Alligator mississippiensis: one gene and its partner. The protein of the gene in region 1 purifies or fractionates together with the protein of each later gene. This does not show direct contact. Links are inferred from orthologs where the notes say so. Each region holds a gene or a part of one and is shown on either strand. Other genes may lie near its edges.

What was found.
Region 2: the proteins of USP33 (region 1) and ROBO1 purify together in Homo sapiens (affinity purification with western blotting; 5 studies listed by BioGRID and IntAct, with this or other methods). This does not show direct contact. The link is inferred for Alligator mississippiensis from reciprocal best matches to the Homo sapiens genes USP33 and ROBO1.

What each region holds. Positions count from the first base shown.
Region 1 is NC_081828.1:23,811,986-23,819,589, reverse strand, and holds the start of USP33 (ubiquitin carboxyl-terminal hydrolase 33), read left to right. Parts: upstream 1-4,364; 5' UTR 4,365-4,462; intron 4,463-4,528; exon of another isoform or gene 4,529-4,627; intron 4,628-5,204; 5' UTR 5,205-5,294; intron 5,295-7,604. Other genes in the region: MIGA1 (mitoguardin 1), read right to left, coding at 3,683-3,781. UniProt on the Homo sapiens protein: Deubiquitinating enzyme involved in various processes such as centrosome duplication, cellular migration and beta-2 adrenergic receptor/ADRB2 recycling.
Region 2 is NC_081824.1:275,560,842-275,568,269, forward strand, and holds the start of ROBO1 (roundabout homolog 1), read left to right. Parts: upstream 1-4,355; 5' UTR 4,356-4,482; coding exon 4,483-4,657; intron 4,658-7,428. UniProt on the Homo sapiens protein: Receptor for SLIT1 and SLIT2 that mediates cellular responses to molecular guidance cues in cellular migration, including axonal navigation at the ventral midline of the neural tube and projection of axons to different regions during neuronal development.

The DNA of each region.
Region 1 (7,604 bases):
CCAGCCTGACTCTGTCAGTGCCCCATACTCCTCATCCCATCCCCAATCCTGCCTGCTCATCCTGCTCCAGGCCTACCCACAGCCCCCATCTGCCTGACCAAGCATGCCACGAATGGCACATGCCCCCGGTGGCTGTGGGGACACGGCTGCCCTGGCGGCAGCAGGAGCGCAGTGACAGCGGTGGTAAGCTGGGAGCTCCCGTAGACGCTGACAACACTGTCCACCCACAGGTGCTCCCAGCAGCCAGGGGCAATCATGGACCACTCGCAGATGCCACTGGCAGTGTCGGTGGCAGGCTGGCGAGTGGCAACTGCCTGCAGGCAGGGGGTGCACTGTCATACTCAGGGGGTGCACGTGCACCCACGTGCACTCCCTACGCGTCGCCCCTGAAGCCTGCCCTGCCCATGTGGGTCTCAGGCCAACCTCCACAGCGACCCTGGGATCGCTGGGCAGCGAGAGCACAGGGCCGGGCTACAGGGCAAAGCCACAGAGAGTTTTGGTGAGCATTTGTGAGCAGTGGGAAGGGAAGAGTGTGTGTGGGAGTGTGGGGGGAATGTTGACCCAACCCATAACAGCACACCCAAACTCCCCCAGTGACCCTCCTGCCCAAATAATTACCCACTCCTAATCTAAACCAAAGCAGAGGATTTAGCTCAGGTATTAAAACATAAAATTTACTTTAATGCTTAAAAAAAAATTTTTTTTTAAAAATCACTCGCTGTAAAAACAGTAAAGATGCAGTAATACTGTACAAAAGATTAAATTAAGCAAAATATTACACCTAAGTTCATATTCATTTCATATAATTATAAATGCATTTACAAATGCATTTCAACCAAGTAGACACTACATTTCAGAGGTTTTAATAACTGCAACTAGATGTTCCGTGACTTTTTTTCCATCCCACTGGACATGCAGAAGATGGTAAACAAGTGAACAGACACACACTGGTATCTCCAGGGATGTATAATTAATCCCAGAGTTAATACAAGACTTGAGCGATGCAGGAGCTCTAGAAAAACCACTACAGCAATACAGAACACGCAATCAGTGAGCTCTTGGTAAGGAATTTATTTTTTCCATGTTGGAAAAATTCAAAGTCCTGGGGTAGTCACATGAGAGACAATAAGAATATTCACTCTTCTTAATATTTGTACTAAAACATGTATATGTATGTACACATTTATATTTATGTAATACGATAAAGATGTTTCGGGCAGCTTGTATTATTAAACATAAAATAGGGCTTTATCAATGCCACTGGCTTTGGACAGGCATTAAGATTTAATGCTTAGGGATCTGGGTTTTCTGTTTCCTGCAGAAAAATATGGATTTCCCCTTTGAAGGAGGAAACCACAGATTTTCCCTTTTGCAAACAGCTCTCTGCTGGTGGGCAGAGTTCCAGCCTGCAAGAGCTACCTGCAAAAGGTCAGGAAACCCTAAGCCCTGTCTGCAGAGGGTGGGGCAAAGCCTGAGAATCTGAGACCAGCCAGTGCTGGCTCAGACCGACTTTCTCTCCTGCAGCCGTTGGGGTAAGTAGAGCTTTTGAGGTCTGGGGGGTGGCTGGGGGCCCTGCAAAGAGGATTAAAATAGCAGAAGGGTCTATGTGTGTGTGCATATGTGATGGGCTGGGGGTGGCAACAGGGAAGGGTCTGCAAGAAAGGAAGATGGGGTGGGGAGGTGCTCCAGGTAAAAGTGGCCACTAGAACTGGGCCTGGAGACCCCCTGCCCTCCTAGAGCTGCCTGTGCAGAGGGAGACTATCATAGAAGAGAAGGGGCTTGTCCAGCCAGAGGCAGGCCCAGTCCAGTCCAGTCCCTGAGCCCTGTCAAGGGCTTCCCAGGAAGGTTATGGAGACCACTGGGCCCTGGGCCCACAGGGGAGCAGAAGAGCAAGGGCCAGCACTGCTCAGAGCCACAAAGCATCAGGCAGGATAGCTTCAGCTGGACCTGTGGCCTGGTGCAGTGGGGGCGCTGCTGCTGCCAGGAGGAAGCAAGTCGGGGGCAGTCAAGGGGTGCTGGTCAGGAGTGAGGGGCAACAGCAGGGGCAGAGCAACAGCAAATCAGTGATGCTCTGTGCCACAAAACAGCTGTGAGGACAGCTGCAGCTGGACCTGTGTCCTCCTGAGGGAAAGGGGCAGGAGGTGCTCCGATTTTCTATAATAAAAAATACCAAAATCAAATGCCAAAGTTTATAGGTATTTAGAATATATTTTATTATAATGACTGAGGCACTGGTAGGCTTCCACACTGCTTTAAACTGGTAAATATATCAATAAAACATTGTGTTCAGCAGATACCTATATATATAGTGGCATTCCATTTTAATGGCAGAAAAAACCATGGATTTGTGGGGTTTTAATCAGAGAATTTTGAATTTTTAAACGGAGAAAAACAGGATCCACATTAATGACTCAGTAACATCTTTCCTCTTAAAAAAGTGCCAGAGTCCTGATGACGGATCATATTTTGCTTAAAATCACACCTATCAGGATGGCTGCATGGATTAAATAAAGAACAAGCTCACAATCTCCCTCCTTATATTAACAGAAAAGTAGCATCTTTTTCAACACACTACAGCATAGAATGTGGACTTTTTCTGTCAATAAGAAATATGGAAGCAGTTTTCCCATTTCACAAAGCTTAGAGTTATTTAAGCAGGTTTGATTTCACTGTGTTGCTCAGAAACATGCCTAGTTATATCTGACTGAGAACTGCCTCCTCCTTTGGCTGTAGTCAAAGCAGAAATATTGATTCTCCACCCTAACTTTCTATTAAAGAATGTTCCAGGGACACGTTCCCCTGCAGACAGGGAGTGTCAGCTCCATGATGCTGCTCAGCTCTGAGTCTGGAAACTAAGAATACAATGGACTCTTTACTATTAAAGATAAATCATTCATTACCCACCAGTACTATTATTTACATACAGCAAATTAGCATATAAAACAGCAAGAAAATGGATGACAATAAATCAATGCTAAAACCATCTGCATAAAAGCCAAAAAAAGTGATTAACTAAAGCTTCGTTATGTTCAACTATAAGGGACTATTGACATAAAAAAAACCCACAACAGACTGGATTTAAACCAACCATCTCTCAGTACTATATCACTTATTGTAAATCAATCGAAAACACTGTCAGCTGGGTGAATCTTCACAATGATGCAGTAGTTCATCGAAACAAATACAGTCAAAAAAGAAAAAATATCTACAATCTGCAAAATATTTTGGAACATGCCCAATACGATTATTTGGGTTAATGACTTTTGCATTTAAACTTTTAAAGAAACTGACAAATTTGCCTGTGAAAAACAAAACTGAAGAGCATGATATTTGGTTTGATCAGAGGTACTACAATGCTGCAACGATTACTCTGCCACAAAGACCATGGGTTTGCAGAGAGAGTCGTTTCTGTTATCTGACATACAACTGACTTGAGGGAGTAGAAGGGAGAAAAACCAACAAAATAGTTTTGTCTCTCATGTGTGCGCATTGTGTGAGAACCGGAACAAAGATATTCCCGGGGGAAAATGTTTAATGAAGACGTAACCAAATATTATGCCCCCCAGGAGCTCAATCATTTAAAATACTGTAAAAAAAATAAATAAATAAAGTAACTGAAACTGTTTCCGATTCATGGATGAAAACGCCAGGAATGAGGATAACGCAATATTTCGATCGTTACCTGGATGAGAGAATAATACCAGGAAAGGGGAAGATGAAACACTCGTAAAGCTGCTGTCTTCAGAGAAAAGTGCGTCTCACTAACTGCTTCTTCGGACATGGCTCTCTCTCTCCCATAACCTCGTTAAGCGAAACTACCTCGAGGCCGCATCAGTCACAACCTGCCACTGGCATCTCCTGTCAAATGAAAGCGATGTGCTCAATTACACCTCCCCCGGCCTTTTCTCTGCAGGCTGTCAAAGCCCGGGGTTACAGAGGGCGCAGAGGCGGGCCGGCATCCTCCTCCCTCGCCTCTACCGAGAAGCTGAGCAGGGCGCGGCAGGTTTCGGCCCGTCCTCCAGCCCGCTCGGCCCTTGGCAGGGGGCAGCACTGGACATCGGGGGGAGCAACAGCGGCCTGCAGGGAAGGATTTGCAAGGAGAGGCAGGGAGCGACTCGCAGCAGGAGGCGCTCGCTTGCTCCCTGCCACAGAGGCGGGGACGGCGGGGGCTGCTCGGCCCCGCGGGGGAGGGGACCGCGCGCCTCCTCTAGGCTGCGCCCCTGCTTACCTACCGGGCCCCGCGAGCAGCAGCGGCCCTTTGCAGCCCCGGCCCCAGTCCCGCCCCCGCGACGGCTGCTAGGAGACAGCGGCGCATCCGCTTCCGGGGTCAACGCGAAGCCAGGCGGAGGGGCTAGCCCTGAATGTGGACCCGCGCCGCCGCCATCTTTGTGCGGGACAACCCTGAGCCCTGCCCACGCGAAGCCCCGGGGCAAGCTGCCCGCTGCCGCCATCTTGGTGAGGGGTAGGTTGGGGGGGAGGCTCCCCTCCGCCATCTTTGTGCGGGGCGCCCCCACGTGTGTCCGTGGGGCGAAGAGGGAGGTACGCCTCTGCGCCGCCATCTTTGTGCGGGGCGCGCTCGCCGGCTGGGGCAGAGAACGGTGGGAGCGGAAGGCGCCCGGCGGCCCAGGTGCGGTGGGATCCTGGGCTCGGTCTGCTCTGCCGCCCAGCTCTGAAGGCAGGAGCCGGAGGGACCCAAGGGGCGGCGTCGTGGCGCCTGCGGGCTGCCCTCTTGCCTGGCTTCGCTCCTCTGAGGAGGGGAAAGGCCGGGTCGAACGGGGCCCGCGGCGGGGCGAGCGCCTCTAGCCAGGGCTGCGTTGCAGGCTTCGTTTCGGAGCCTGGGCCGGTGCCCCGCGGGGGCGCGTCTCGGGTGGGGAGGATCCTGCCTCAGGGAGGGGGTGGACTAGCCCGGGGTTGCTGAGCCGGGACAGGGGCGGCCGCCCCGTGCGGCCCGGGAGACTGTTCTCTGCGGGGTAGGTGACACGACAAGGAGCCGTCGGCTCAAGTTGCAGCAAGGGACGTTTAGGTTGGATATTAGGCAAGATTTCCTCACTAGGAGGGTGGAGAAGCTGCTCAGAGAGGTGGTGGTAACGCCATCCTTGGAGGTTTTTAAGACAAAGCCCTGGCTGGGATGATGTGGTGCTGCTGTGAGCAGCGGTTGGACTAGAGGTGACCTCCTGCGGGCCCTTCCTCCTCTGATCTCCTAGGATTCGGTGACCCCTGGACGTCCCTTCCAGCCCAACTTCCCTGTGCTCCTGCGAGTACCCTGGCAGGACTTCTCAAGCGCTCCCATTTTTGTAAGCATTGATTTTGCATCATTTGTCATGTATTTGTATTATTTGTTATTTTGTATGACTTGTTACTGATTTTGGAGCTGCCCAAGTATACGCATCTGAAAATTAAAATATTGAAGATTTTCTGAAGCCCCTCAGCCTACTGGATGCACAACTTCTGTATGGCTGTACATTGAATGAAGTTTGTTTTAAAGTGCAGTGGTTGCTGGAAGATGCAGAACTTCTTGATTTCCTTTTTTAAAATTTGTTTTTGTGTCTAAATCTTCCTATAATATAAGCTTGCAGTCACAGAGTCTGATTTGGGGGAATGAGAATTTGAAATAAAGTACTCTTACTTCGTTGCATAGTCTTGGAAATAATTGCAGATACAAATCAAAGCCCAGAACCTGTAACTTTCTCTGGGTAGGCAAGTGTTCATGGAGTCAGGACCTAATTTGATCGTATTTAGTACTTCCCAGAGTTCAAAGCAATGTCTTTTAAAAATTTTATCTTTGTTGTCATTGATTACAGCGTGTGAAGATTTCAAGATTAGCATATAATGCTATATAAAACAATTACCTGTATTGTTAGCAAACATTATTAATTCTGTAAACTACACTGAAAAATTGTACCAAGATTCCGATGTAGTTTCTCATGATTTGGTTTCTGTGTTTTTAATAGAAATGACGAGGCCATGACAGAAGCACTCATGGCATAGCCTGCCATAAATGCACAAAAAAGGAAGGAATTGTAATGCCAGTATATTTAGGAGCCTTACAAAACTGATATAGTTGGATTCCATTCATGTATACATGCTAGAGATGTAAATAGTGTTAAAAAAAATTATCCATGTAACCATCTCTAATTATATCGGTTAAACAGTTAATCAATAATGCATGCCTAGTGCCGGCTGAAGGGTGCAGAGCCCTGGGCCAGGGCCTGCCCCGCCCTGCCACAGGGGAGATGTTGCAGTCACCTGCCCGGAGAAACATGGGGAGCCAGGGGCTAGTGCTGGGAACCACTCCCTAGGGCCTTTGACTGAGTTGGGGGGAGCTGGCACCAAGCCCCGCCAGATAATTCAGCCCACCATGAAGCCAGGGGTGGCAGCAGCCAGCTTTCCCAGCCCGCTGCAGCCACTTTTTTTATTTAGCATTTGATGATACAGGGATCACAAAGCAAGGAGAAACATATTCACAATTTTATGTCCAAATTTTGCAGCTAGCTCATTGCCTTAGGTGTAGTATTGTTCAGATCCAATAGAGTTCCATTAAGTGTATGAAGAGAGCATTCAGGGGTGATATGATTCAAAGTTTGAAAGGGGGCACCACAGCTGCAGTTCTGTGAGCTAGTCCAGCCCCACCATTGTTACAGAAATACACATTTGCTGTGTCCTGTCCTGATTCTGTTTAGAGAAGACCAAAGACGTCTAGGGAGATCAAAGCTGGTTTGTCTGATAGTGGGATTTGTAGTAATATTTTCTGTGTTAGGGGATGAATTGAGCCACATTTGCATCCAGGCATCTTGGATGTTAAATGAATCTTGCTCAAGTTGAATTGCTGTTCTCCTGTTGGGATGTCTAGATTTTAGTCTTGGACGTGGGTTTAAGAAATCTTTTGTATAGGCAGCTGTGGGTTATTTTTTATTTTAGTTCATAATTTAGTTAAGGCATTTTTTTCTTCATGAGAGAAGATGTAGGTTACTAAGAATAGGGAGCTGTTGAAGAGGGGTAGATCAAATTGTTTCTGTAATGATTCAGTCTGTTATATGTCACTGTCAAACTTATCAGTGTGAGCACTTTAACCAAATTGGACCACAGTATTCCACCGAAGAGTAAACCAGCACTTAGGCTGTTGTCCTCAGTGCATCAGCATCAGCTCCCCAGGAAGTCCCAGTGAGTTTCTGGAGCAAATTATTACAAGTTTTTTAACTTAGCTGCTGTCATAGTTAAGTGATTTTTATAGCACAGTGTTCTATCTAGGATGATTCCTAAATATTTAGGAGTACTCTTATAACTTAAGAGCTGACTTTTAAAACAATAATGGGTTGCTAATTAGCTTGTTTATTGTTCAAGTGAAATGTAGATGCTTTTGTTTTCCCAGGGCTTGGGTGCAGATGCCATTATTTAAAGTAGGTTTCTAAAGTATTCAGATCTGTTGTGAGTATTACTTCTGCTCTGGAGAAACAAGATTGTTGTGTAATGAGGGCTGTGTCATCAGCCTGTATGACGTTTCTTGAGAAGGTGCCTGGAGGTCATGAATGTAAAAATTAAACAGCAAAGGTGCAAGAACTGATCCCCTTGGGAGGTTGTTGTTCAATTTATCTGGCCTACTCTTA
Region 2 (7,428 bases), on another chromosome or scaffold:
CGCTGATTCTTTGAATCAGCATCAAATCTTCAGATTTGGATTTGGCCGAATCGAATCAGGGACAGTGATCTAAATCAACAAATCGAATCACTGTCCCTGAATTAGGTCAAATCCAAATCTGAATTGAATAGGGCCAGCTTTGCACACCCCTAATATATACTTTCTATTCTTATGCAATTACTGCATATCTATCTATCTATCTATCTATCTATCTATCTATCTATCTATCTATCTATCTATCTATCTGATATAGATATTGATATAGTTTGATATAGTTATAGGTGATAGACACACACTTGAAATCACACCTTACATGAGCAGTGTTAAGAAAACAATATTTTTATCAAAAAATTACACAGAATCTAAGATTCATGTAAAAACTAAGTTATAGCTGAATATTATTTTACAAATATGTGTAAACACCTAAATTCCTAAATGAAAAATACATTATTTGTATACAAAGGGTTGTCTCATACTAGGTTTGCAGGTTTGATTTTCCTGATTCATGTGACTGACTTAAAAGTATGTTTCAGCATAAGAAGAATGAATCTAATATAGATTCATAACTGCCTTATTTAACATGCCTTAAGAAGAACAATTGTTGTACCTTTATAGTTATGTTTTCTTCTTGTGAAGATTGGGACTACTGAGGCTAGATATTAAGAAAATAACTTCATAAATATAAAGTTAGTTGAGCAATGTAACAGATTACCTAGGGAGGTAGCAAAATCCCAAGCAGTAGTGCTCTTTAATATCAGGGCAGACAAATGTATCTGGCAGGCATACTGGTCTTGGTCTGGGTTCTCTGATACTGCCTCAGAGCAGAGGGTTGGAATATATGACCTGTAGAGGTCCTTTTGAGCCCTGCATGAACTTAAGATTCTACTTATCTCAAGGCTTCTGCAGCTAATGCACTGAATTCCTCGTATCTCAACAATAAGAGCTTTCAACCGTGTAGACTCTTCTATCATGTTTTAATCCTAGGGAAGAGCTGTGCTAATATGGCTTTTGTTTTATTATGTGTGAAATGATGGTTGCTGAAAATTGATTTTGGCTAAGCACACTTGTTACACAGGTAAACATCCATGTAAATTCCTGAAGAATTTAAGATGGACAATGAATTCCTGCAGGGTTTTTGGTTGTAGCCATGTTGGTCTAAGGACATAGGCAGGCAAGCTTTTTTAAGTAGATGTGATATCTTTTATTAGACCAACTGAGTAGTTAGAACAAAGTTCTTAGCAAGTTTGTGGTTGCCTGAAAGAACTTTGTTCCATCTTCTCAGCTGGTCTAATAAAAGATATCACATCTACAATGAATTCCTTATTTTTCTCTGAAAATAAAGGGGTAATTGGTGTTAAATGTCACATAAGGCTATTTTTATAACCTTGGTATTAGTCGTGTAGTTTTTGCTCAGTTTCTTAATTCTTAACAGAAAGCTTTGGGAATTGAGTTTTTGCTGGAAATGTCCTTGGTAGTCCTTGGTTTTTCACTGTTAAACCAAGTTTCTTGTTAATAGCTACAGATTTCAGGAGATTTAGTAGTGTATCTGGTGCAATGGATAGGGTTTTTAATTATTATTTTTATTTTTAAAATGTTTTACTTAGAGCCATTTTAATATTATCTGTGTTAAAAATGGAAGCTTTTGTGCTCTAAACTTGATTGATGGAGTCAAAGTGTGGATAAACTTTGATTGATTTGGGTCTGTCACCATGCACAAGCTTGAGTGATTAATGGAGATTGGGATTATTAAAACCTGACTGGCAGATGATAAGGTAGTTGTACATAAATCTTTCTATGCCAGAAACAAAACTTTTCTCTTAGGTTTTATCCTGCAATAAAGCACTAATTTGCAATGAATGACTCAAAAGGCATTCTCATCTGCAACTAAACTTCTGCCTGCACCTCATCCAAACCCAAAGCCTTAAATAAGCATGAATAAAGCCTAGAAGTTAGTGCACAGGAACACAATACCTAACAGAAATCCATGAAAGCAAGGATGATGAGTTGAGCTATGGAAGAACTGGCTTGTCAGCACACAGGATACCATTATCACACTTACTATGAACTGCAGCCTTAATGGTACTCTGTTATGGATGCTGGCCTAACATCATCTGCCCAGGAAAAACTGTCCTAAGTACTTCTCTACATTCATTCCTCTTAGATAAGTCCAAGCTATCAAGTACCAATCTATTACTGCATTGGGGGGTGAACAACCTTTTTGTGTGCCACAAATTAACTCTGCACCTACCTAAATGCCACTCCAATCCCCTTCCCCTGTGGATCTGCCACTCTGCTTTCTGCTCCCTGCCTGATCTGCTGCATTGATCTTTGTTCCTTGTTTGATCTGCTGCTTTGCTTTCTGCTTCTTTCCCTGTGCTCTCAGCCTGATTTGCTGCTTGGCTTTGTATTCTGCCCAATCTGCAGCTGTACTTCTTGTCCCCTCCCCAGTATGCCACATGCCACAGGCAGCAGCTGTCCATGCCACTGGGGCATGCATACCACAGGTTGGCCACTACATCAGGCATTCACAACAGCTGTCCAGGAAAGAGCTGTATGAAAAAAGTGATAGTGGGAGTGGACTTAAAGTTGCCATGCAAGTTCTGTAGTTTGTTGAAGTTGTGATGATGGTTGGTGTGGAGTAAAAAATTGTTTGCCCCATGTCTTGCAACTTATACATTAGAATTTCCCTCTCAAAGTACGTTCTCTTTCAATTTCCTTTCTTGCTTTTGAACTTTTGGGATTTACTGGGGTCCCGCTTTTCTAAGCTTTTCTCTGCAGTGATGCCAGAAACGTCCTTTCCCCTCCCCTTTAATGAAGGGATAAGCCTCCCTTTTAATATAACATCTACTTAAAGCTGCAGGAAGGAGGGCTTTAATAAAGGACCTGATGCCCAGGAAACATTGGCACCCCTATGGCTAGTAGTTGTGTCTTCAGCCCCTGATTTGTGTGCATTTGCCAGGCACTTTTGGGTATGTGGCAGCTGCATACTCTTTGGCATACTTCTTATTCATGTGTAAAGGCATCAGCGCGATAGATGCTTTGAATACAGCTGTAGGACTGGAGAGAGTGAGAGAGAGAGAGAGAGAGTGGCAGCTTCATACATTTTGGGTTACTTATTCACATGTAAGGGCATTGGTATGATAAATGCTTTGAACATGGCTGCAGGGCTCCAAAGAGTGAGTCAGTGACTGCGTGTGTGCGTGTGGGAGTGTGGCAGCTTTGTATTTTTCGTTACTTATTATTAACATGTAAGGACATCAATGTGCTGAAAGCTTTGCACAGAGCTCTAGGGCTCCAAAGCATGAAAGAGAGAGAGAGAGAGAGAGAGAGTGTGTGTGAAAACCAGGTCCTGTACCAGCCTCACAAAGCTCCAGCTCATTACTCTGGCATAGTAACTACTTTCCTTATTGCCTCTAATTCATTGCCTCCTTTTTAAAGAATGAAAGAGGCTGTTTTCATAACCTTGGCAGTGGTTGGCAGCATTGCCACTGGTCACTTGCTTTCTCAGTCCCTGGCTTTGTGCATGCATGCCAGGCACCTTTGGGTGCATGGCAGCTTCGTCTGTGTGAGTTACTTATGATTTTTAGTACTTCCTATTTGCTTGTAAGAGCAGTGGTGTGACAGATGGTTGGGACACAGTTGTAGGGCTCCAGAGAGTGCGAGACTGCGTGCCTGTGTAAAAGAAAGGGAGAGGGGGGCAACTTCCTACTCTTTGGGTTACTTACTATTAATGTGTAAGAACATCAGCGTGATAGATGCTTTGAATACAGCTGTATACAGCTCCAGAGAGAGAGGAAGTGTGTGTCATGAGGTCCTCTGCCAGTGCTGTCCTGCTCCAGCTTCCGTGTGTGACTGTGAGTGTGAGAGAGCGAGAGATCTAGTCCAGGTCCTCTGCCAGTGCTGTACTGCTCCAGTATGTGTGTCTGTGTGTGTGTCTATGTGTGCGTGTTCCTCTACAGTGTGTGTGCGTGTGTGTCCTGCTCCAGTGTGTCCCACTACAGTGTATGTGCGTGTGCGCACCAGTGCTGTCCAGCTTGTGTGTACGCGCCTGCTCGTGCTGCCCCGCTCCCCCCGCAACTACATCCCTTTTAGTCCCTGCCTAGTCCCGCAAGACTCTCAGGGGCTGCCGCAACCCCCCGCCTTCGCCCCGCTGCCCCCGTGCGGTGCCGCCACCCCGGGCTGTTCGCCTTCCCCAGGGGTCCGGAGAGGAGAGAGGCGCGGCTCCTTTAAAGCATCCCGAGGCGGCGGCGGGGCGGGGCTGAGGGGGCGGGGCCGGCGCGGAGCGGGCGCTCGCGAGCGACTCCGCGTGACACCGCCGAGTCGGGGCGCTGCAGCCACCGCGACCGCCGCCGCGTCCTGCACGCCCGCCCGCCCGCCCGCTTGCGCCCCTGGCCCGGGCCATGCTGCGCGCCGCGCGCCGCTGCCGGCAGCGGGACCGGGGCCGCCCCCGCCCCGCCGGCGCGTCCTGAGCCGCAGCCGCGGATGCCCCTCGGCCCCCGCACTGCAGCTCCGGGCGCCCGGGCCGGCGGCGGCGGCGCGGGGCTGCGGGCGTCGGCTCCCCCCTGGCATGAGCCGGGGCTGCGCGGCCGCCGCCTGGGGACAATGGTCGCGGAGTTTGCCCGCTTCTACCTCCTCGGCTGCGTCTGGCTCTGCGCAGGTAAGCGCCGGCGCCTGCCCTGTCCTGCCCCCGCTCCCCGCCTCGGCTCGTCTTTGCCTGAAGTTTCACGGGCTCGTCTACGCGCGGGTTGGGCGGGGGGCGGCTTTCCGCCCCGAGTCTGTGCGGGCTGCTCTGGGGTTTGGAGCAGGAGTGCTGGGCGGCACGCGGGGACACACGCAGACAGGAACACGCACATGGACAATCGCACCCACAGGCGCACATAAAGGGACGTACAGGGGCACACACACACACGGACAGTCACAGCACACAGACGCACATAGGGGCAAGGGGCTTCGGCAAGCTCAGGATCTCTCATTGCACGGAGGACTCTTCTCCCTCCCAGCCCGTGAACAAGGAGCTGCTCAGAGTTTCCTTGTGGGCTCAAAGGCTTGTCGCTGAAACTGAGTAGGGAGAAGTGTCAGGAAATAACAACCTTTTTCTTCTGTAGGTTCTGCTGGGTTGGATCGGGTGTCTATGTGTGTCTCTGTACTGGGGGGCAGGTGGTGGAGAGAGAAGATTACATGAATGGGTTGGTTTTCCCCAGCAAACTTCCAGCCCCTTGATTTATGAAGGCTTCTCCTTTTCTTTTTTTCTTTTTTTAAAAGAAGATACTCTTTCCCCCTCTGGGCTCTTATGTCTCAGCGGTGCTACCCCCCTGCCTCATTACAGGAGATGCTTACTTGCCACCTAAATGCAGCTGGGTGACTTCTTGCTTTCTAGCCAGTTTAGCTTAACCCCTCCTTTCAGCCACACAGCTTTCCTTCACCCCCCTCCTCCTCTTTCCCCTTCTCTTGCTTTAAGAAGTTGTAGGTGCCGCTCTGGAGCACAGCCACAGCTGCTGAGTCTTAGGCAAGTTACAGGATCCAGTTCCCGCGCTGGGGGGGGGGGGGGGATTTGTGACTGAGATCCTGGTAGTGTGAGAGTGATGTTGTAGCCATGGTGGCCCAGTAATTATGTGAGAGGTGACGGTTTCTTAGGGGGATCACTTTTGTTGGATCATCTGTGCCCTTGGGATAAAGTTAGACAAGCCTTCCAATGCAAGATGTTCTTTCTCAGATCTCTAGATATAGGAAGCCAGTCACTGCAGGCTGGGATCATGGCATACGTGTCAAAGTCCTTTAGTCCTGATTAAAGAATGCCCTTACCTCCTGGCAAACCCCTGACATTGAGCCAGCCCAAGGCACTCTGCATCTTCCCAGGAGCACTCCAGGGAAGCCCCCAGGAGTCCAGGACTAGTGGGGCAACCGGATGTAGCTGGAAAGGAGTTGGGACTGGTGAATGGGTTAAAGTGTAAAGGCCTGCTTTGTTCTTCCCTCGGTGCACCCCTTGGCTAATGTAGCCATCTCAACAGTTTGCATGTCTGGTTGATTGAGTGCTTTTTGCCACCAAGCGGGATGCAAATCAAGAACAAATCGTTCCCCCCTGCCTTCCCCCTCTTCCCCCCCCCCAGCCCACTCCCAGTCCTCAGCTTTAATTTATAGTCCCAGATTGCTTTGAGATGATTTTTGATTCACCTTCTCTGTTAAAGTTTATTCACGTGTGTAAAGTGAAGTGTCAGTGTGATAAATGGAGGAAGGAGCGATCACGGAAGAGATAGGGGGATTAATGGTCATTAGTCACTGTTTGAGCTGGGTTTATGTGTGTTGGGGCATCTTATCATGCCTGTAGATTAAAGATAGGGTCATACTAACAGGGTATTGTTGACAGCAGATTTAGTTCCCTTGCAAATCCTCCACCTTTGAGAGTACCCCATCAAACTGTTGTTGGAGAATGTATTTTTTGTGTAAATATGTGTGCATACATATAAAATATATGTATATGTGTATGTATACATATAGTTATATATGTATATGTGTGTGTGTGTGTATAGAGAGAGAGAGATGTATGTATTGTATTTATATAAAAACTCTTTGGACATAATTACTTTTAACTGTATATATCCCTCTGGGCTTTTATGATGATATCCAGCTAAAATAGTATTTGTTTCTCACTCTGGATTATTCAGGGTTTTTTATTTTTTAACTTTAAACGTACATTTATTTATTTCCTATTGTTTCCTTTTGTTCTTGCTAGACTTTCCTATTGTTCTTGTTAGCTGGCAGACTAGACTTGTCTGCTTGCAGTTTTCCTTCACGTTTAACTTCCAGCTGCTTGTATCTTGCATAAAACTATGAACGTGAAAGTACAACATGTAATGCAGCCAATTTAGCCAAACCTTGTCTTGTAGGTCTGATAGGCACTAAACGTGAATAAGTAGCAGGTTTCCTTAATTGATTTTTATAAAATTGTGGAGGACTCGGATGAGTAATTAAAGTTCAGTGATTAAATTAAGTTTCTGAAAGACTTAAATACACCGTACCTGAAGCACTAAATCTTAAGTGCTACTGAATGTAACGTTTTATATGATAACATGATTATTGATAGATTGTATGCTGAACTTCACTGTAAGTGATCTTATGTACTTTGTTTGGCCTACTTTTATGGATTCTCCTTTCAAAGACAGTAATTGTCACACTGCTGTTGGTCATGTATTGGTTACGATGTCTGTAGTTTGGCTTGTTATGGTTTTCTTTGTATATGTTACATTTGTTATCAGGTATAATGAAGACTTGGAATATTTTTTTGTGCTTCTCAATAGTTTTTTCTGTTTATATCTTCTCTACCAGTCTTCTGTCTCAGGAAAGTTGCCTTGCCTATAAATTGTCAAATTGGGACTGTACCTGAGTTCACCCTTTGTTCTAAGTTAAGTGAACAAAGTTTCTGCCTAGTTT